2 linked regions of the Neurospora crassa OR74A genome follow. The protein of the gene in region 2 binds, or shares a complex with, the protein of the main gene of each other region. Links are inferred from orthologs where the notes say so. Each region holds a gene or a part of one and is shown on either strand. Other genes may lie near its edges.

Region 1 (10,300 bases), on a different chromosome or scaffold from region 2:
TCGAAACTTGTCCAAGAGGAAAGAGAGGGGCAAAAAAAAAAGGCAGAGCTCATGATAACATGGAGGGAAGCTCCATCTTATTGATACCTAACAAGACGACATTGATAGCCGACATCCAACCATTTCTCAACATCGTCAAAAGTGCCCCCGGGCTTTCTGGTTGAAGGAGACCCTAATACAGTTAAAACCCCTGTTGATACAAAGCAAATCCCCCTCTTTTGCAAAGGATTTCGACTGCCCGCACCCCCCTCTGATGTAAAAACTATAACGTGCAATTGCAACGGTTAGTGGTCTGAAATTGTATTGACAGGGGTCTGATTTTGGTAGCAGGGCATACTTGTACCTGTATACCGGTGGGTCTGGTCACTTCATCAGACCTACACTACTTTTAAGGCTTCGCGGCGGTCGTCCAGTGGCAAAAAAACCTCTGCCTGTTTAGCCCATCAGGCTAAGGCACAGATCATCAGGACGGGCAGGGCAAAGAGTGGGTAAGTTGGGCAAGCTGGACGATATCCAACTGGCTCGCATGGAGGTGAGGTAAGGCTGCAGTGGGACAGATTGACAATTCCCAGTCACAGTTATTTGTTTATTTATGTTTTTTTCGTTGAATTTCTCCGTGTCGGATTCTGAAGAGGCTTTAAGGTTTTGTTGGGCCATCGGAAAGAGTACTATGTACATTGAAGTTTACTATGCTCTTCATTCCAATATGGTTCGCCTTTTCGGACGACACCTACCTTCTATCTATGTAGCCTATCCGCTGACCAACAGAATATGTACCATTTTCGAGATTGTCCGTCACCTGCCTTCGAGCCAGATGCCGCCCAACGTCACCTGCATTCGACGTAAGGGACGCGCTGCCAGCCAGGCCTCGAGACTGTCTAAAATACACCCATGAGCACACGAGGTGAAAACGGGCTACAGTGTCCGTCACATTTCTTCTCACGAAAGATACTCACACACTACAAGATCCAAAGAAAGAAAGAAAGGCATGTGCCACGGATTGTGCTCTGTAACCCTTTGGAAGCGGCACAGTAATTGCAAAAAGGCAGGTCACCAGCAGCATAAATGTACAAGATATTCATGTATCAATTGCGAAACAGCTGGGGATGTGGTCTCTCTTCTGCGACGTTCCTCGCTCGCGTGGAACGATCCACGAAATGACGTTGAATAGCGGAAACCGACGGGACAGTCTGACCAAGTACATGGTTGAACTTCCCTAGCAAGGATTCCAAGAAAGGCAGACACACGACAAGTGGAGGCCCAGTTCCCATCCGATCCCTCCGGTCCCGGCCGGGAAATGGCGGGCTTTGTAGAGACACTTCTGAAAGTCTGACTCCGTCCTTGGATTCAGTGTTTTGACGGCGAAGTCTCCCGTGGGTCATATGTGCTGAAATATTCCGTCAATGATGGGGCACTGGAATTCCTCACGGACCGGCGGGCAGTGGAAGCCTTATTCGGCAGACGATGGTTCCGTTTTTATGAAAACATGTGACGAGATCGGCGGCTTAGTCGCCGGCTGTTTGATATGATCGGGGTCGGATTTAAGTGTAAAAGAAAAAAAAAAATTGGACTTCGAAGTTGGCTTTTGCGATCCTCTGCTACTTCCCCGTTTATACCTAATCTGTTGAGTTTGTTAGGTAGGTCGATCGGGGTCAGTACAGAGTTCGCAACGTCTTAATGATCGGTGTTCACACCTATCCATTCAAGGAGGAGCATTCTATTCTAGGCATTGTACACGTACCTTGACAAGAGTTCGTCCTCTACTTCTGTGCACCTCACCAATCAACGCTGGAAGTGAGAAGGACTCCTTTCTACCCCGCACGTTTTTACGGTGGAACAGTTGACGGTGTTCATCAAATTCGGCTTCAGGCATCACACCGAAAAAAAAAAAAAAAAAAAAAAAAAAAAAAAAAAACCGGTGAGTTGGCTCGACCGCGCTGGAGAAGGATACGCAAGTTGAACATCTAACTCCAGATCACTGATGGGACCTTTGTGGAAAAGACGGTACCAGCACGGGATGCGTGACAAACTTGCAGTTCATTATCTGATAACAAAAGCTTGAGATCAAGAAGTATCTGTGGTCGGCTTGTACCTGCATCAATACCAGCGCAGCAGGGGTCTAGGCTTATTGATATTCTCGCGCCCTGGGCCGTTGCTGGATGCATAACCGGAGGTGTAGGCATGGTATATAGTACTGGCCTGGACAAGCCCGCAGCATCCTTTCAAAAGAACGAAGTTCTCAGAATGGAACATGGAGAGAGGAAGAGGGGTGGTATAAAGGAAATCCATGGAACTTGTGCTTTCGCAACGGTCGACGGGAACCGGGAGGTGCCGAAGCCATCATGTAGTCTAGTGTAGATACTTTACTTGATCGACATAACCAACCCGAGGCGGACCACTGTTTGGATCTGCGGTACCCTGACAGCCAGACATGAAGATTGAGGCCACAATGTTGAATACTCATTCGTAGTGAAGTCGAGTAGTGATACTTGTAAAGGATAGCTACATCTACCGAGTGGCATGGCGCTGTTGGCCGTAGCTCCTATGTATTCGTACGAGCATCACGCGAAATGGCTGTGGCAGTCTAGCAGAGAGGGAATGGGCCTGACCGGACCAAGCCTTGACGATAATAACAAGGAGTACCTACGTAGTTTGTGGTCCCGGCTTAACTTCCTCGGGCTGTTGATGACACTCCAAGGAGGCCTCTGGCACTCTAATTAGAAGTTTGGAGATGAGTAAGACGGATTGGTTACGTGTGGCATTGGCAATGTCATGGGATGCATGTGTTAATGTGAAAAATCAACAACCCCGCAATAAAGTCCCCTACATGTACACAAGCAATTGGATGTTCCCGGCGGGTGTGCGCCGTCTTCAATCGGATCAGCGTTGCCTCCCTGAAACTCGTCAACCTGGCCGCGACATAACAAACAAGGTTTTTTTTTTTTTTTTTTTTTTTTCTCTCGTCAAGAACCAAGCTTACTTCACGCTACTTACTCCTACCCTTTTGTTGTCTAAGGACTCCTGTTGGCCTGTTGCTGCTGCTGCTGTTGTTGGGCGTTGAACCTACCAGTCGTGCTTACGTACCTTTCCCTACCTACCTACCTACCACTCGCCCTTTTATCTTTTACTTGGTTACCAGTCGTTCTCGTCGCGCGGACTCGAAATGTCATCGGAAGTCTTCCGCAGAGTGGGCCGCGGAGGTGCGGGCAATTGGTATAGTAAAAAGGACATTGAGGATGCCGAGAAGGCGGCTGCTGTGAGTGTACCCATCCATTGCACACACGAAATCGGACAAACACTTCTCCTTTGATCCGCCTGTGCCTCGGCTGTCTTTTCGTATTGTTCGCCATTCTCAAACCAACCCCACAGGATCTCGAAGCGCAAAAGAAGTCTTCTTCCGGTTCTACCTCGCCAACAACCCTCGAGCGCTCCATCACCGCACAAACCAGTCTCAGCAGCTCGCGAGCCGGTGGTCGCGGCGGCGCCGGCAACTTCTACGACGCCTCGGCAACCGACGCGGCCGCCGCCCAGCAGCAGGAGGAGGAGAAGGAGGCCGAGCTCGAGGAGCTGACGCGCGTCGTGACGGCGAGCATCCAGCGGCCGAACCTCTCCGGCCGGCTGAGCGGGCGTGGCGGCGCGGGCAACTACAACGATAACGCGGCGCGAAGCGCCCAGCATCGACTGGACCCAGAGCAGCAGCGCAAGATGATAGAGGATCTTAACGCGAGGGTGTTGCAGGATGTGGAGGCCGGGCTGGCAATGCCGAGACCGGCGTATCATGCCAAGTTTGAGCTAAAGCATGAGAGGTTGGTGTCTGCTGAGCCTTGAGACGTACCCTTGATGATGAGGGTCTGCGTAAAAAAGGTGGATGAAGGGATATGTGTGATGAGATGGGTGGTCATGGTTCTGGTTCTGTTCACGTTTCGTTGGGTTGGTCAAAAGGGAGTTTGGGAAAGAGATGGAAAACGATGCACAAGCAAACCCATGCACATCGCTACAATCGGGAAGTAGGAGGAACCGATTGGTATGCTGTGTAATGGGCAATGATACCCCCTTTAGTCCCCTCAAGCAGGCAAGTTTTGAGCGGGCTCTGGATTACGACACCGTCAGACTGACGGGAAGAAGCAGGGCTGTTTACCGATAGCCAAAAATTTGCGATGGAGGCCTTGTTAACGACGTTTATGTATGTTTATCATTTTCGGATCTTGATCATCCGTTAGGTGGAGTTGACGCAAAGCATTCACTTCCACGGAAGCGGCATCAATCTCGACATTGACGTGCGGGCAGTCCGCACAAGTTATCGGCTCAGCATACGAATTGTATAAGCTGGTTGAGCGATAGTTGACAACATGTAGCAGGTGTGAGCGGACGGCGACGATAGTGATGATAGTCTATGATGTGTGTAACGAAGCGTTGCCTATGCGCTAAGCGAGTCCGAGCCTCTGTTAGTCGCATATTCACCTCCCAACGCTTGGCAGCGCTCAAGGTGCCCGCCATTGCCTGCCGTAACACGCGCGGCAAACCCGATAACGCCCGCCATAAAGGGCTGATACGTTGCCGCTGCCGGCAAAAAAGTTCGCTTAAACAACGGACAAACCTCGCCGTCCCGTCCTCGCATCACCGAACTCCATCCATCCCATTCTACCCGTGTATCCGTACATCGATACGCCGGCCCGCCCAAGATCAACCCACCCGCACTTGATCACTGACGACAGCCTCAACTGAGCATCAGTCCCCGGACGACGTCAACATCAACCGACTCCCATAAACCCAATACAACCCAAACCCAACCCGCACAATCACAATGTCGTCAGCAGTAGCTATTGGCGCCGGCGTCGCCGTCGCCGCTTTCCTGGTGAGTCCTACTCCCATCGCTCGCGAATGGATCCCGCACCGGCAGGCATCACACTTTAATCACTGTCTCTACCATCACTCAACAACAAAAAAAGCCACTGGAAACAGATGTCATGCCTGAGCCACGTCGTTGTTGATCATGGAAGAGGAAAGAATAAGAATCAGCTAACCTTCCTACCAACAAAAACAGGGCCGCGCAGGTCTCGTAGCATGGCGCCGCTCGCGCGGCGGCGTTGGCGCCCTCGGCAAGGCTTTCTACAAGGGTGGTTTCGAGCCGCGGATGAACAAGAAGGAGGCTTCGTTGATTCTCTCGCTCAAGTATGTCTTGTTCAGTCCGCCTTGTCGTTGTCCGTTGTCGCTCCTGTGTCGTTGTGCCCATCCATTCCATGCCTCTTTCTTCCCTTTCTTGCTTCGTCCCTCATGGCCTGCCTGCCTGCCTGCCTGCCCGGCCACGAACCTCTTTGTCTCATACATTCATCCATCCGTTGCTCCGTCCTACCCATCATCACACACACCCGCATCTACATAGCGTTCCACCTTTCGGAGTCAGCCCCATGAATCGAAAGGGAACCAGTAACTAACACTTACCCTCCAACAGTGAGCGCACCATCACGAAGGACAAGATTCGCAAGGCCCATCGCACCCTCATGCTCCTCAACCACCCCGATCGTGGCGGCAGCCCGTATCTGGCCACCAAGGTCAACGAGGCTAAGGAGTTCCTTGAAAAGAGCGTCTAGGTTCCATTTTGATTGATCTCGTTGACCGATCAATCTGTTCGGTCCAATCCGTCTCGATGCAGTGCAACGCCATGCGAGGCGATTAATTTGATCGATCTCGACGATGGAACTGTGAGAGGCGAGTCTAGAGTCTCTTGGAGGTCTTACACAGACGAACAATACAGATTGACATCCTTACACCACTCTCCAACTCCAGCTCGAGTTTGTCTGTTACGACGATACCAGTGTCGCCTCAGTGGGCTGAGTGGTTGGGGTATGCAGCTCCGGCTACGGTAGTCGTCAAACACTGCTAGCGGAACACTGCGGTACTCGATTACAAGCAGCATCTCGTCAAGCCTGAGCCGCGAGACAGGACAGAGTTCGATCAGAAAGCACCTACGCCATGATGATACGGCCTGCTACTACACATTGGCCTCAGACAAGCTCCTTACCCTATTCTTGTACAACAAAAACACACATATGGTTCTTCATAGCACTGGCGTTGACGGGTTTTTGGCTTTGCGGGTGGCTTGGATGGAAAAAAAGTAGGAGGCTTTTGTACGCTTTGCACAACTTGAATAACATACCCATGTAAAAATATTAGCACCAATACGATTATTGTGTTCTGTGCCACATGGACTGAATAGTTTAGCGGTTCTCCTTTTCACTGTATACACGCCGTAGACTAGATGATGCGCGTTACAACATTGCCAGATGCTGGTTTGATGCTCGCTTTGGCTGGAGTGCAGCCCTTTTCACCTTTTCTTGCCTGCCTGTGCCCCTTTGCCTTGCTTCGACTCCAGTTTATCAGCTAACTTTTCCCAGGTACACCTACGCCCTGGGCAGTGGTGGTGGAAATATGGTAGTCTCATAGCCATTACAACTCCCAGTTTTCACACACAGTAGTCTCAACGACGGAGTTAGGGACGGTGCTCGCCGCCATCACCAAGCTTGGTTCGCCACCATCAGACAGCTCCCCGGTGCTGATCCAACCCTCATCGACGTCCTCCTTCGTCGCGGTGAATTCAGAGTAAGTAACGTAACCATCGTTACTAAAAGAAACATGATTATATCAGCACTTCGTCCGGCCTGTGGCCTTTCTTCTTGAAGACTTACCTCGTATTCGCCTTTGAAGCCTTCGCAGCAGCCCTCTCCAAGCTCTTCTGCCGCATGTCAATGGCCAAGCCCATCATGGCCTGAAGAGTGTAGACCGCGTCATTTCCAGCGTTGTGCATGTTCTTCCACGGAATGTCGAGGTAGCCACAAACATTCGAAAGTTTGGAGGCGTTGTTCGAACGGCTGAGATACTGGTACATCTCTCGAGTGTCTACCACCTCCAAAATGTTGTCCGCGCTGGCCACATCATAGCCAAGCATGCGAATGTATTTGAGATCTTGAGATTGGTCGTGGAATACAAGGACCACGGGGCGCTTTGCTCCCTCACCACCGATGGAGGACTCTCCCTCGATGGTCTCCTTCAGAACGCTGGCGATCTTCGCGACCTCGATGAACTCGCTCTCGCTGGACATTGTTAGTAATTCGGTTTCGGATTTGGGGCAGGGACAGGGCAAGGATGAGGGATGAGATCACACATACCCAAAGTCAAAGTATTCGGCGCGGCCTTGGACATGCCTGGAGTTTTGGGCCCACGAAAACTCCTTGACGCGAATATGTCGTGCTTTGATGAAGTCGAACCAGTTCTTGCTGCCTTCACCAGGAGCAACATTTGTGATCTCCGCGGTATCAAGAATTGCCAGGCCGACCTCGGTGATGATGCTTTGGTCCAGTTCATAAGCCTCAAGGTCAATCGCCACAAACACGACAGACTTCTCCGGCTGGATGCCAGTAGGCTGGGTGAGATCCAGCGGGGTATATGATGACACTTCCGGGTCAGATAAAACTCTGCGGCGAAGACCGAGATACCGCTGAACCCTCTTGATATTTTTTCCCCAGGCGCGGTGAAGATTGCTTCGCTTGTACTGGTTGTTCTTGGTCTTCTTGCTCTTGTCTTGGATTGAAAAGATGCTGTTCAAGCGGCGTGTGAGCTCCTGCTTGGCAAGGAAAGGAGCATTTTCCGACGTGTCTCCGGGCTTACGCGCCGGGACGTTGTTCGTAAGCTGCTTCCATTCCTCGGCAGATCTGGAACGGCCAAGGAATCGCGGTTTCGCTGTATTACTCTGCCCAAATGGCATGGCGAACATGTCTTGATGTCCGCGAGGAAACGTGAACTCTACGTCAAGTTTTCTGTTTATGACGTCGAGTAGGTGCTGCATCTGGTAGGTTGGGACGAAGATCAAGGGATTATTGTTCCCCTCGTTGGACGGCCGGTAGAGGTAGAATCTGGAGCGTGTTAACACAGTGTCGTGGACTCAACCCCGATAAGACCTCAACCTCTTACAGATCCCATATGCGGTTTTCGTGTAGGCTCTCGAGCGTAAAAAGAGGCCGAGCCTTGGGAACGAACTGTTAGCGTCACACTCATCCATACTGCGATGATGGGTCTCACCCTCGCGCCGTTGCGCTTGCCAACAAACAGGTTGGGATACTCCAGAACCATTCTCCAGGGAGTAAAGAGTTCTGTAATGGGATCGATCTCGCCCTGCTCCACGCTGACTTCTGGCCAGCTGATGTTCTCCAAGTCCGAAGCATCGCGGTACTCTTCCTGCTCGTCGGTCACGTCCTCAATGCGCAAGGAGGTAGGGCCAGTATGGTGAGGGCGAGTAGCAGGTTTGACGTTAAAGGGATCCAGATGGCGGGCGCTCAGGATAGAAGCGTCGGATGCATAATTGTCGTCCTCATCACCCTGGGCGTCATCACTAATGTCCCAGTCATTGATGTCTTCGTCGCGCCACTTCGAAGGATCGAATCCGCTCCAGTCCACAGTCTGGCAGGTAAGGTTCCGCAGCTGTTGCATGAACTGCTCGTCCTCCATGGTGGCGAGCGATAGTTCGGTTAGGAGTGACTAAGAGATCAGTTAGCCTTGGACATGAAGTCGACGCCGGCGATTCTAATCTTGGATCTGGTGATGTCTCTCGGGTGTGGTGATAGGGCCAGCAATATGAGGGGGCGGCTGATCTGGAGAGGGACGTTTTCGGCAAATGGAGATCTCAGCCTAGGTGTCTCTGCTACGATATTCCACTTACGTGTCGTAGGGTAGGATGCGAAATGAAGGGAAGAAAAAAGCGTCGCTTGAACGAAGTGGGCTCGCGCGCAGTCGTAGGGCGGTTGTCGTTGCTGGGCGGAGGGCTTGCGCGAAAGCGATTGTCCGGGAGGGAATAGATATTTCGGAGAAGAGGTGAGCGAGGGAAATATAAATAGTCCTTAGGCAGACACAATGGAAGTGAATGGGAAGCCCTGGATAGTGGCCAAACTTCTCATCCGAAAACCTATTTTGTTCAGATGGTCAGTTGATGAAACGGATTTAGGCTCCTTAATTCTTCAAGTGAATAATGGTCTTGAGCAGTACTTACAACCAACGCGGAAGGTGCGAGTGAGCGGGCGCGTCAGTGGGAGGCTCCCAACAGGACACTAGAAAGGGACGAAAATGGAAGGAGCGATCACAGATAAGTGAACAGAATCGCAACTACCCGTTGAGGTGGTGACGATTTGAGGTACGGTATGAGGCCTACAGGTGCCCCACTGTAGAGTTCACAAAGGACGGAACAATAAGTAAGTGTTGAATTAAAGGACCCCACTTGGCAAAGAGGAGAAATGGGCAATTCCTGTGAAGGGAAAAGACGATTCCCTGGGCCGGCCTTACAGACTGAATCACAAGTAAAATGACTGCTCGTGATCAGATAAAGGCATGTCATGCAAACGGTTGGATAAGTTGAAGTGTATTAGTCGTTGCACTACTATGGATGCGTAGTCTGCCTAAATGCCGGTAGCAGAATTGGCACTGTGCATGCCAGACCCAAATTCGTTGGGAGGACGGAGGGAGTGACGAACAAGTAAACAAAGCATCACACATAAGACCGACAACCAGATAATATCGACCAAAAAGATGCTGTTTGTATACATTCGCTTGCACCGCCTTGAACAAGATAATGCTTGAAAGTCTTGACATTTGGCGGCCGTATTGATCGAATAAACAAGCCTGGAGCAGTAGATGAGGTGAACAGACGTTGGGCAGCAAAGCCGAAAAGCCCTATCATCTGGTCACGAATCTATCGTGCCACAACACATGACACTGTGTGTCTTGAGTTGCACTTGCTTCCGGAAAATGCATCCCTCCGTTCTCCTGTTCACCCGACTTCTTGCGCACTGAAGGGGTGCTTCCTTTGCCGCTCTTCGTCAGTGTCCTCTCCAGAACCTGTCAGCGACCCTCCCATAGACTTGCTCTGCACGGTGTAGTCCTAGTAGACTATGTAGGAATCGAAAGACGTGGCTGCTTTCGACATCCTTGAATCCCTTCCAGCAACAAGCTGCGTGATATTGCTCCCCTAATTCCGACCACCTGGACGCATTAGGACTACTCACTTCAGAAACTAGTACAAAATGTTAGTTTAGTCTCAAATTTCTGAACGGTACAAGTAGTTTGCAGGTTAGACACTCACAGCCTTTGCCTCATTCTCACTGACTTCCGACACTTCAGATTCATCCTGCGTGATCAACCCCAAGCGCCCTCCAACAATCCATCGGAACCACATCTCCCTTCGATCCCCATTTAAGTTACCTGAGAGCAGGCTCTCTTTGAGTTTTGTAATGTACTTGTTGTAAAGCGTCGGAAC
Region 2 (11,216 bases):
GTGGTCGAACTGCTATTTGATGCCTTCAGCAACCCTTGTCTCTCGGCATCACTACCCTTCTCCCGCCTGAAGCTGCAAGTAGCTGTGATGTGAGCCGCTACTGCTAGGGCAAGAGCAAGATACCGAGCGGAAATGGTGGAGATGCTGAAGATATCGGAATAACTCAGAGTGGATGATGATCGAGCAAGGAAAGACAGGACCGCAATTAGGGGCTCGAGAAGCAATGCCATAACGAACGATCCAATGAAGGGGTACCACACGGGGGCTTTTGAGTGTACGAGTCCAGCGAACTCAACGCCAAACACCAGAATACAGGAAAGGAGGCCAATGGTAACGTCTTGCTCGGCAGGGAATTTGTGTAGGATGAAGGATTTGACACCCAAATCGATGAGCTGCAACACGTATGTGAGAATGATGAATACGAGCAGCCAGAGTATAGAACGTCGACGACCATGGTTTTCTTGTGCTGATTTTGTTTGCAGCGTGCAGACAGCTAGCGTTGTCGAAATGATGTAGTAGGTAAACACGGCCGTAGGATAACCGTAATGAAGACATAACAATGCCTGTTTGACCCGAGGATCAAAACTGGCGTGAGCCAAGCTGCTGTCCTCAAAGTTTGGCATCGTTTTGACGAACAGCCAAGCGTCAGCTCAGAGGCTCCTGTAAACAATGCGGCTGAGTGTTATCGTGGCGAGGATAAATGGTGTGTATTAGGCCAAGTAAGGTGGGTTATGTTGGTGGTAAGCAGAACTAATTTGTTGTCCTTCGTTAGCTTTTCCCAAGAGAACAGCTCATGAAAATCATATGAGGATCTTGCTAGGGGAGGGGACTTTACCTGGTGGCCCAAGTTCGTTTCTGAGATCATAAGTGTTGGAAGTTGGTCAACAAGGCCAGCTGGTTTCGCCCGAAAATCACCGTCGAGGTACCGGACAGCTTCTGGCTAGAAGTTCGGAAATGGTGGTAGTCGAAGAAGAAGTGGAGGGGAAGATGATGGAGTTGTGTCTCAAACAAATCGACCACGGCAAAGTCGAGCCCACTTGGAAGTAGCGGTACCTTCCCTAATATTGTTGGATAAAAGCGCCGCCTGGGAGCTTCCAATTCGTTGGTTCGGGGATGCGTCCGAGTTTAGGGTGAAGGGGAACTAACAGGAGGTTTTATGTCACTCCTCTGTGAAAGGGAAGGTGTGGAACTGCGCGAGGCGGCCGCAACAAAGAAGTCCAGGCACAGCCGTCGTCCAGCCAATAACACAACAGCTGGTTGAGAGGGAAGGCACGCCTCTAAATTTCGGTAATCCTGCTGCAAGGCTGAGTTTGAGGAAGGCAAGGGTGACTTCAACAGCTGAGCCAGAGGCACCAGGGGCAGTGATGTAATTGAGGAGTCCTCCCAACTCCCAACGGCTGTGATCAATGGTAGGCAAAGTTCCCGTGGCTGCCTGTCTAGCTGACGAAACGCGAAGCGGCGGATATATGCCCTTGAGGGTTCTGGCCGTTGTACCTTTTTGCTGTCTTGATGAGAGTACACTAGACACCTGAATGGTCCTGGCACACAACTACTCCCAACTTTGACCAACCACTGTTTCCTCAGCTGAAAACAAACTGGGCTATCCTCTGTTCCAGGCTTTTGAGCTGATCAAACCAAATGTCTGTTTGGGAAACTGCTCATACCCATGCTTTCTTCGCAAAAAATAGGCCCAAGAGAGATGGCAAAAGTCCAGCCTTGTCTGTGATCTGATTCCTGTCAAACTGGAAGATTACTAGCTTGTCCTAGGGCGCTGCTCGTTTCTTCTGGTGGTGGCTTCGTTTCCACGTGTTCTGTGTTGTTGTAACAGTTGCTGGTGCCTCCTAGAGTGATCCTTTCTGTCTGGTAGCACGTTTATATCCGTATGTCTTGTTGTTTTTGGGCTGACGTCGATGATTCCTTGGGTTTTCAAGCCTCGTCGAGCCGCTCGGATCTAGAGAGTTATCGATGACTCTTTGAACCTTGCCATACATGCGGGACAAGCCACTTATAAGTCGGTTCTCCTTGCCGACCTGGAGCTAACAACGAGCATAATGTGTTACAGAGCGCAGCAGAAATGAAGCCCTCACTATGCCTGCTTGACACAAAAAACGCCTTAAATGTGTTGTCCCAATGCGTACTATGAATGTACCACGCCGGATCCTCTGTAAGCTTGCAATGCGCAAACTTGAAAGTTGGGAAGCTGTTTGATGTCGTGTACGTCCAAGCCTAGCTTGTCCTTCGATATCGGAAGATGTTGAACTAAGGGGTCGGCATAAATGAAGACTGGCTTATTGTACAAAGAGGAGAGGAAGAGTCGGCGGATGTGTGGGAGTATGCATGGTATCTGACAATTGGAAATAAGGCGGTTTGTTGCGAAGACATCAGAAGCAGGAAAGGCTGACCATGAGTAGCGCAACCAGAGAAGAATACCGCCACGTCGCGAACGAGTAGGAGAATATGACAGGATGGTGTTGGGACAACTAGCCAAAAGAAAGAAAGAAAGAAAGACACAACGTTATTGTACGTTACACAACTAAGCCAACCCGGCGGCATCTAAGCTCTTGTTCCACACCATCTCGTGGGTCGGACATGGAGGCGTCTGGTGGGATGGAGCAGCCCGTTGTGTCTTACGCTTCCCAGCTGGCATGCTTCGCGTGAAAAGAAAGAGACGGTGTGCAAAGGACCCTAGGCAGGCCCAATGTGGGCGTCGACACACAAATTGGCAGAGTCTTCAGACTTGAATGCAGGAGAGCCTTGTGAGGCCATGCTCGAACGACGGGACTTGTTAGCTCTTGGTAGGTATGGCCGTATTCTCTTTTTCCTTCTTCCTGACCTCCAGCATAGTTTTAGTGGCGCCTTTGAGGTTGGGATGCTTGTTGCTCTTGCGAATTGACCCCTGTTATTTCCGCCAAGCATATAATAGTCTCAGTGAGCATCTGTCGTCACATTTTTGATCAACACAATGACAAAATTTGTGCTGTTGACTCCATGAGACGGGTTCGGGACCATCCGAATCATACATTCCGATAGGTATTTCTGACCTTGGTCAATCTAGACTGAGACAGTCTGACCGCCGGAGAAAGGCCCGCACAGAAAACGGAAGGAGAAGCAACGAGAGCAGTCCTATGGATCTCCATTGCTACATTGCCAGCGAGTATGCAAGAGTAACAATAATCGCTCCATGTGGCAGATTGTCGTGCTTCAACAAGCAACATGACAATGACGGCATATGGTTATCCCCTGCTTTGTCGATGCTTCGCGTTGAATGTAGGGAGGACGTGTATCCTCTTGGCCAAGACTAGGAGCCTGGAGTCGATGCGATAAGAAGTAGGACGGCAAGCATCCTTTTCGCGTTGCACCGAGTATGCAATTGGTGCACAGCAGGGAAGACAGTTACCCATTAAACCCTGTCGAACTGTCGTCCCAAGCAAACTTCCGCTTCGCTGTGTTGCAGTGTTTGAGACGGTGCTCGACCGGCCCGTCAATGGAGTCTCAGACAACACGCCTATGGTAATTCTCAACAAAACGAGAGAAACTCGCTGTCAAAAGCTTGATCCGGTTCGGAGTGTCGTTTTCGGCTCCGCGTGCTCCACCCCGACGCCGGCCTTGGCGTCGGCGGTGATCCGAATAATCTCGACTTTGGTTTCTGTCCGGCTCGGTCCTATTCGGTCCTGCCATCGTGGGCTATCTCTTTCATCTAGGCACTATCACCGGTGTTCTTATTTGCATGGCCTGCGACTGAAACGGCTTTCTTGAATGCTTCATATAAGCCATCAATCAGTCCAGACCGCTCGAGATCAACGATTCGTCAGACCCCGTAAATAGTAGTGACGAAGCGCATAATGGCGTTGCCCTACTCCCAGCTTGGAACGACACTCGTGCCAGATGGGAATGGGTATGGGCATTGTGTGGCAACACAACGTTCATAGGAGGGAGGCGGCGTACATGAATGACCGGCAATGATGGGCTTCTAATTGCAAGCCCACGGGTTCCGGTCCCAGGAGAGATCATCGTCAAGCATCGCGAGACCAGAGACAATACCTGCCGCGCCCTTCGGCCCCGTACCTGAGCTGTGTAGCATAGGTATGCGAGTCGGGTGGGACAGACGCGACGCAGACCACCTCAAGAATTGTGTGTAGGTAGACAGTTGATGTTGAATGCTGCCGAGAAAAGCGCTGGTTTATGAGGCGCAAATGGCAAGCATATGGTGCCGCTTGAGGATAGAATTGTGCTCATACAATATAGGGTATCAGTGGGTTACAGCCTAATAACCATGGGTGCATGGTCTAGTGGTATGATTTCTGTTTTGCATTGAAATTTCTATCTTGCTCTACAGACGGTCCCGCGTTCGATCCGCGGTGCATCCAATTCTTTTGACTTTTTGAGTCTCAGAAAGCTATTTGGTTTTTGTTGCATCAACATTGTACCAGATGCCTTGATTTTTGAATTTTTGTTTGGAGAATTTTCTTTCGGCGTGCGCGTGTTTTTGTCTTGCTGAGATCCGGTCACTTGACTGTCTCGATCAATGTACTGGGGCTTATCACATGTGAGATCGGGTGAATCGAGAGAATTAACGACACCAAGTCTCAGTTATGTTCTACATTCGCACGGTACCTTGGTGTATGATTGCCTAATGAAATTCGTTTCAAGCACTATAGGCCATTGGAGGCGGTTAATCAGCTTAAAACAGACCAACGGAGGAGGCTCGGGAGGGGGGAGATGATTCAAGCACAGGCAGAGGATCGATACCAACGTCCTATCCAAAGAACCAATGTCATTGTTCTGTACAAAAGCGGGTATCGCTTCAAAACGCCTATATCTGTTTCGCTCCACAGCTCTTTTGTGACTGCCCTCAGTCCCGCTATTATATTGTACAGTGTGACCATTTCGTCATGGCACCAATCTTTGATCCGTATGCCCTTATTCAGAGTGGTGTGTTTATGCTGGAAATGCTCAAGGCGCCCGCTCCGTAGCCTGCCTTTCTATACATGTGCGACGAAGATTCCGAAACTCCCAATGGCCCCCATGCGACCAGATCCCAGTTTTGGTATGATACATTTATTCTTGGTTGCCGCAACCGATAATAGTGTAGTGAACATAAACAAGCGCTCGACGCCGAGTGGTGATGTGGCAAAAGCGTGCTCCTTCACCTTAAAAGACACGCTCGTTGGAAAAAATGCGGGCTTAGATGTAATCACGCCCGCTCTTCTGCATCTCGATCAATCTCCAACCCCTGGTCTCGGGGTTGTTGACATCCTCAGGAATACGAGTAATGCCAATGGCGTAGGTCACAAGCTGAACCTTGTCCTCCATACCGGCCGCCAACTTTCCAGTCTTGGCGTTCTTGTAAACGTGAACTTCTTGAGTCCTGCAAGTGATGACGAAAACAGGAATGTCGCCAGGCTCAAGCATCCGCGCCTTGAGAACATCAACACCACGGATGTCGAGAATGCGTCCGTCGGACTTGAGACCAGCCTGGAGATACTGCTTGGTCAAAGCCTCATAGACGGAGTACTGGGCCTCCGAGAGCCAGAGCTTCAGTGTTTCAACATCACCCTTGACGTACGCCTCGAGGACTTCAGGAAGGATGTACTCGCGCAACTCCATAAGGAAATTCTCCATGTTGAAGCCGGGGTCCAATTCGCGAAGCTTCTTGATGACCTGAGCGGTCTCGTTTTCGGCGAAGAAACTGCCAATCTTGTCGGTGATACTCCTAGCAGTGGAGATGAGGGGGTTTTCCGACTCCTCGTAGACGGTCTTCAAGCCGAAAACATTCTGGACGAACTTGTTGGAGTCGCGGAAATCCCTCCATGCCTCCTTCCAAGCGGCATCTTTGTGGAGAGTGACGTTGGTTCCGGCACTGCAACAGTTAGCAAATCGACCAGATATGTCCGCAGGGCTTGTTCTTACTTGGGATCCTCCTCAAGGATCTGAGGGCCTTTGCCAGCTGACTCCTTCAGCCACTTCTCTCTGCGTTTCCTACGTTCCTCCTTCTCAGCCCAGCCGCCATATCTGGAGCTGCTTCCGTCATCGATGACGTCCTTCACGTTCTTGTAAGCCTCAGTCTCGCGGATAGGCTTCGTTGCCTTGTCCAGAACCTCTCCGGTGATGTTGGCGCCCTTACGCACTCCCTTCATCACTGGCGTCTCCCAAGTCCACTGAGCACCCTTGCCGACGGCAGTCGCGGTGGTCTTGACAACCTTGCCAGCCGTAGAGGAAACAGTACCAGAGGTGGCTTCGTACGCCTGTCGTGCACGGCGAATGGCCTCGCTCTCTGCGATCTGGTTGGCGGAGGCGGCCAATGCCTTGGTCGACTCGTTCCATTCCTGAGACTGCTTGAACTCGGTCTGCATGGTCTCCATGAAGACCTGCCAGGGAGTCTTGTCACCGTGGGGAGGTGGAGGCGGCGCATCCTCCTTCTTTTCCTTCTTGGGCTCACCCTCTGACTTCTCGCCCTCCTCCTTTGCTTCTTCAGACTTGGACTCTTTCTTTCCAGTGGGCTCTTCTTGCGCCTTGGGTTCGGTCTCTGGCGTTTGCTGCTTAGGCTGCTCCTGTTGCTGCAGCGCGCGGAACGAGGCGTGGAACGAGCGGGCTTGTATCGCGTTAGGGGTAAAAGGCGACCTTAGTAGAGGAATCTCCTGCGCGGAGATGGGCGTGGCGGGAGAGATGCGACTTTCGGTGGTGTTGACACGGGAAGCGCGGCTGGACAAGAGCCGGCTGGTCGCCGGTGACCTGACATGGGTGGTATGAGGAACGGCCGTGGCTCTCAACGGAGCCCCCGGCGACGTCCTTAGGACATGCCTATATGCGTTCATGTTTGCTATCCCAGCTGGACCGTCCTGCGGAAAAACCTGGGAGACGGAGCCTTCAAGCTGATGCAGACAACAAGTCGAAGCACGGGAGTGGAGTGCGTAAAGTTGGCGGACGGAGGGCAATCTTGCAAGGGCCGAGGACAGAACTTAGAATTTGCGCGCAAGCTAATGGAAAATGGATCGGTGGAAATTCTGCTGCAACGCCAATGGCCGGGCAAATCGATCCAATACGCGCTGAATTGGTCGGCTGGACACCGAGGGTCCCCCGAAATCTTTTGGCTTCTTTGCCCCCGCTCGGCCGCAAAACTGCTCCAAAACTGCCCCAGAACATTTCGTTCAGTCCCCCGCTGTCGGCTCACCCTTGTTACCAATGCCAAGAAAAGTGCCTGCCCCACCGCCGACCGGTTTCATGGTCGCCCTTGATTCTGCAGCGGTGCCGCTTGCGTTGCCTGCCCCGCGGCCATCCACTCAAAATTTCGAGGACCTTTGAACTTCCGGTCGGCGAACGGGACGGGAGCCACCCACTCACGGCATTCGCACGCGCACCGCGCACCACGGAGCCACGGTCTCTCCACTACCTGTACGACTCGCTTCCCCCAACTCCGGCATTGTGTGCGCAACTGCTCTTCCACCAGCTCATTCAAGGTCACTTTTCCTTTGTCGTCCACCCCACCGTCGCGACAGCTCCGAGGAGCATTTGGCCAGCAAAGATGAGCCGCTTCTCTACCGGCCGCCTTCTGGCGCAGAACCTCTTCCAGGCCTTCAACAAGCCCGTTTTCCCCAGCGCCACGCCAGTATGGACGCGGGCGTTCTCACAGACCGCCGCCAGGAGGGACGCCGATTCCGAAAGCTCAGCCAAGTTGATGGAGTCTTTGACTCGGGGCATTGTCGGCATGGCCGCAGATCCCACCGATTTGACCGGTGACAAGCTTGCAACCAACATTGGATTGAGGGATACCGAGGACGAGCCATACCACTTCCACATCTACTCGCACAAGCACAACACTCACATTACCGTCACCAAGCCAAACCGCGACGCTCTCATATCCCTTTCGTGCGGCAACCTTGGCTTCAAGAAGTCTAACCGCAAACACTACGACTCGGCATATCAGTTGGGCGCCTACGTGGTAGACAAGATGCATCAGATGAACTTGCACAATAAGATCAAGAAGATGGAGGTGGTCTTACGAGGATTCGGCCCTGGCAGAGAGGCGGTCATCAAGGTTCTGCTTGGAAACGAAGGAAGGATGTTGCGCAGCTCCATCGTACGTGTCAGCGATGCCACACGCCTCAAGTTCGGTGGTACAAGGAGCAAGAAGCCCAGACGTTTGGGTTAAGCGAGTGCAGCTGGTCTTGGGGACAGAATTGGATGGGGAGCCGTCACAGCCTGGCTGGCAGCAATGGGCTGGCGGTCGTGTACATGTCATGTATAAACAAGAATCTGTCATTGAATTGCATGTTAGGATACCCGGAAGGGGACCGCATGCCGATCCGCTTCCAGGTTCTGTTCTCTTCATTTCTTATGACATTTAAAAGGGTGCTTTGAGGCTCAGAGAGCGTATTTGTTGCTGTACATGGCCCAAGGATGAGCTTCCGGATGTCCCATTGCATTGGAGACCACGGCGAGGAACACCGAATCGTTGGATTACCTTGGTTCCGATACTGTACTGTAGCGTCCCTCTTGGGAATCTAGAGGTACCGGCAGCCCGGCAAGAACCGTACTGTTGGACCCACTTAAATTTTCAATTGTCGGCATGGCTCCCGGCGACGGGAGCTAAACGTCGAACATTAACCAAATTCGGATGAATTCCACCTTATCCCAGACCTCATCCGACCCGGAGCCCTCTCAATTCTTGCCGACCCTTTTCGGCCTTCAACCTCTTCCGCAAAGCCATGTAGAATAGAGAACTTCGACCACAATGTCGACCGATCCGCAAACCCCGCTTACAGCGGGATCAATTCTCAACCTCGATGTGCTCTTCAACAATCCCGTTTTCGCCGGTGGCATGGGCCTCGCCGGCCTTGGCGCCGCCGCCGCCTTTGGTCGCCGGGCTGCCATCCGTGGTGCCGGATTACTGAAACGTCAGATGCTGGTCAATGTCGAGATCAGCAAGCGTGATCCTTCCTATAACTGGGTCCTTGCCTGGCTGGCGCTGCCGCGAGACAACACCGGCTTCATCGCCCAGCGACTGACGCGGCTCCGCAACCTCTCCGTCTCTACCACCACCAAGTCTATCACCCCCGGCAAGGACGAAGGAAGCTCGCACGCAGATTTCCGCGTGCAACCCGGCTTTGGCCGCCACATCATCCGGCACAAACCCGGCGTGTACATCGCCGTGAACCGGGAGAAGGCGAGCACGACTCAGACGGCAACGGGCGAGCCGCACGAGACGCTGACCCTCACCCTCTTGTGGCCGCACCGACATGTGCTGGGCGAGATCTTCACCGAGGCGCACCAGATGGCGCACCGCTTCCACGAAGGCAAGACGGTCGTCTACACGGCGAAGCGCATGGAGTGGATGCCATTGGGCAAGCCCAGGCTCAAGCGGCCTCTTGGTAGCGTCATTCTCGACAAGGGCGTTAAAGAGAGCATCGTAGACGATGTGAAGGAGTTCTTGGCGGCCCAGCAGTGGTACACCGACAGAGGCGTGCCCTACCGTCGTGGCTACCTTCTCTATGGCCCGCCCGGTACTGGGAAAACGTCCTTTATCCAGGCGCTCGCGGGCGAGTTGGATTACAGCGTTGCCATGATCAACCTCAGCGAGGTCGGCATCACGGATGATTTGCTGGCTCACCTGTTGACCCAGCAGCCTGAGAAGAGCATTTTGGTTCTGGAAGATGTCGACGCTGCGCTCGTCAACCGGAGACCGAGGGATTCTGATGGCTACAGCGGCGGCACAGTGACGTTTTCCGGTCTTCTCAATGCCCTAGACGGTTTGGCTGCCGGCGAAAACCGGATAGCCTTCCTCACCACCAACCACATCGATCGCTTGGACCCGGCCCTGATCCGCCCTGGCCGTGTCGACATGATGATGCGCATTGGCGAGGCAACCAGGCACCAGGCTGCCGAGATGTGGGATCGCTACTATGGTGACATTGACACGGACCATTCCGGCCGCGAAAGGTTCCTCAACAGGCTAGATGAGCTCGGACTCTTTGGCGAGAACAACCAGGACCCCGATGCTCCCAAGAGACATACCTCGACGGCGGCTATCCAGGGTCTGTTCCAGTTCAACAAGAATGATATGGAAGGTGCTATTAGAATGGCTGAAGGCTTGATTCCCCGGACCTTTGTGGCCGAAAACCCTTCAAGTGATGGCAGCATGAAGTCTCCGGCATGAACGAGGATGGACGGCCTGGCACGAAATCATGTACGAATAGCTGTATAACAAGACATTGTTCAGGAGCAAAAAGAATGATACCCATTATAGCAACCCGTCTTGAATGCTAATTTGAATGAAGTATTGAATCTGCTTTGCTATCATTGTCGTCATGTTAAGGTTATGTATGGTTCATCCTATTCTCGGAAGTGAATATATCATATCAAGAGAGAAGGGTTGACTCGATTAGCGGGCTCGAAGAAGTGTATAGTATTTCTAGACGACCCTTTTACTCACGCTGGAGTGAAAGGGTCAAATAACAGGGCATGCAGAGGGTTTCTTTCCCGAATCATCCTACACAATGAATTTGATTACAACATTCTCTTGAAGTGGAACAGCCAGGTTCGTCTTTTTCAATGTTCTATATCATTACGCTGTTTGGAGTCAAAGATTTTTCTCTACTGGTGGTTTAGGTCTTGCTTCCTGCTTAAATCTTATTTCCGCTCTTTCCAGATCCGCCTCACTTCTTCCGAGTCCTTTGTGACCTTCAAACCCACTATATAAGCCCAACTTTTCCCACCGGGGCTCACGCATATAGCGCCACGGATGTTTCTATGCCACACTCGTAATAGTGACCGTACCTATGCTGCCCGTAGACCTCTAGTTCAAAGAATGACCATTATTTCCTTTCGTCTTTTCATCTCAATAAGGAAGTGCCGTCCAGGATGATGCATCGTGACGTCGAACCTTGAAGGAGACCTTGGAAAAGAGGGACAGAAAGCTAGCTTCTATTTATGATTCCGACCAAACACCTCTACAACGGAACTATACCGGAACCTTTCTCTCGACGGTTATTGGGCGAAATGCGCTGTCAGAGCTGACAGTACATGTACAGGCGCATATTTCCAAGTTGCTGTTGGACGCTTAACGTGACTTTCGCCAAGCCGTTGCCTCCTTGTTATCTGATCCCACCTTCCCTGCAGGGCAGGATCCGACATCCCTCTCGTCTTGAACTGTAAATTGACTGTACAGACCCTGTACAGCCAGCAGCATTCGAAACCATCACTCTTTATCGTCGTCGTCC

The links.
Region 1: tim44 (region 2) and tim14 share a complex: the UniProt entries of both Schizosaccharomyces pombe proteins name them as parts of the PAM complex. The link is inferred for Neurospora crassa OR74A from reciprocal best matches to the Schizosaccharomyces pombe genes tim44 and tim14.

The regions. Positions count from the first base shown.
Region 1 is NC_026503.1:2,522,547-2,532,846, forward strand, and holds tim14 (mitochondrial import inner membrane translocase subunit tim-14), read left to right. Parts: upstream 1-4,592; 5' UTR 4,593-4,804; coding exon 4,805-4,855; intron 4,856-5,044; coding exon 5,045-5,172; intron 5,173-5,452; coding exon 5,453-5,591; 3' UTR 5,592-6,205; downstream 6,206-10,300. Other genes in the region: NCU00074 (hypothetical protein), read left to right, coding at 3,164-3,256, 3,370-3,828; qip (QDE-2-interacting protein), read right to left, coding at 6,448-6,622, 6,687-7,091, 7,167-7,910, 7,969-8,021, 8,077-8,502; mus-52 (Ku70/Ku80 family protein), read right to left, coding at 10,046-10,057, 10,127-10,300. UniProt on the Schizosaccharomyces pombe protein: Essential component of the PAM complex, a complex required for the translocation of transit peptide-containing proteins from the inner membrane into the mitochondrial matrix in an ATP-dependent manner.
Region 2 is NC_026501.1:4,979,312-4,990,527, forward strand, and holds tim44 (mitochondrial inner membrane translocase subunit TIM44), read right to left. Parts: upstream 7,019-11,216; 5' UTR 6,816-7,018; coding exon 5,911-6,815; intron 5,861-5,910; coding exon 5,185-5,860; 3' UTR 4,634-5,184; downstream 1-4,633. Other genes in the region: NCU03228 (heavy metal tolerance protein), read right to left, coding at 1-623; NCU03230 (mitochondrial ribosomal protein subunit S18), read left to right, coding at 7,019-8,149; NCU03231 (mitochondrial chaperone BCS1), read left to right, coding at 8,732-10,153. UniProt on the Schizosaccharomyces pombe protein: Essential component of the PAM complex, a complex required for the translocation of transit peptide-containing proteins from the inner membrane into the mitochondrial matrix in an ATP-dependent manner.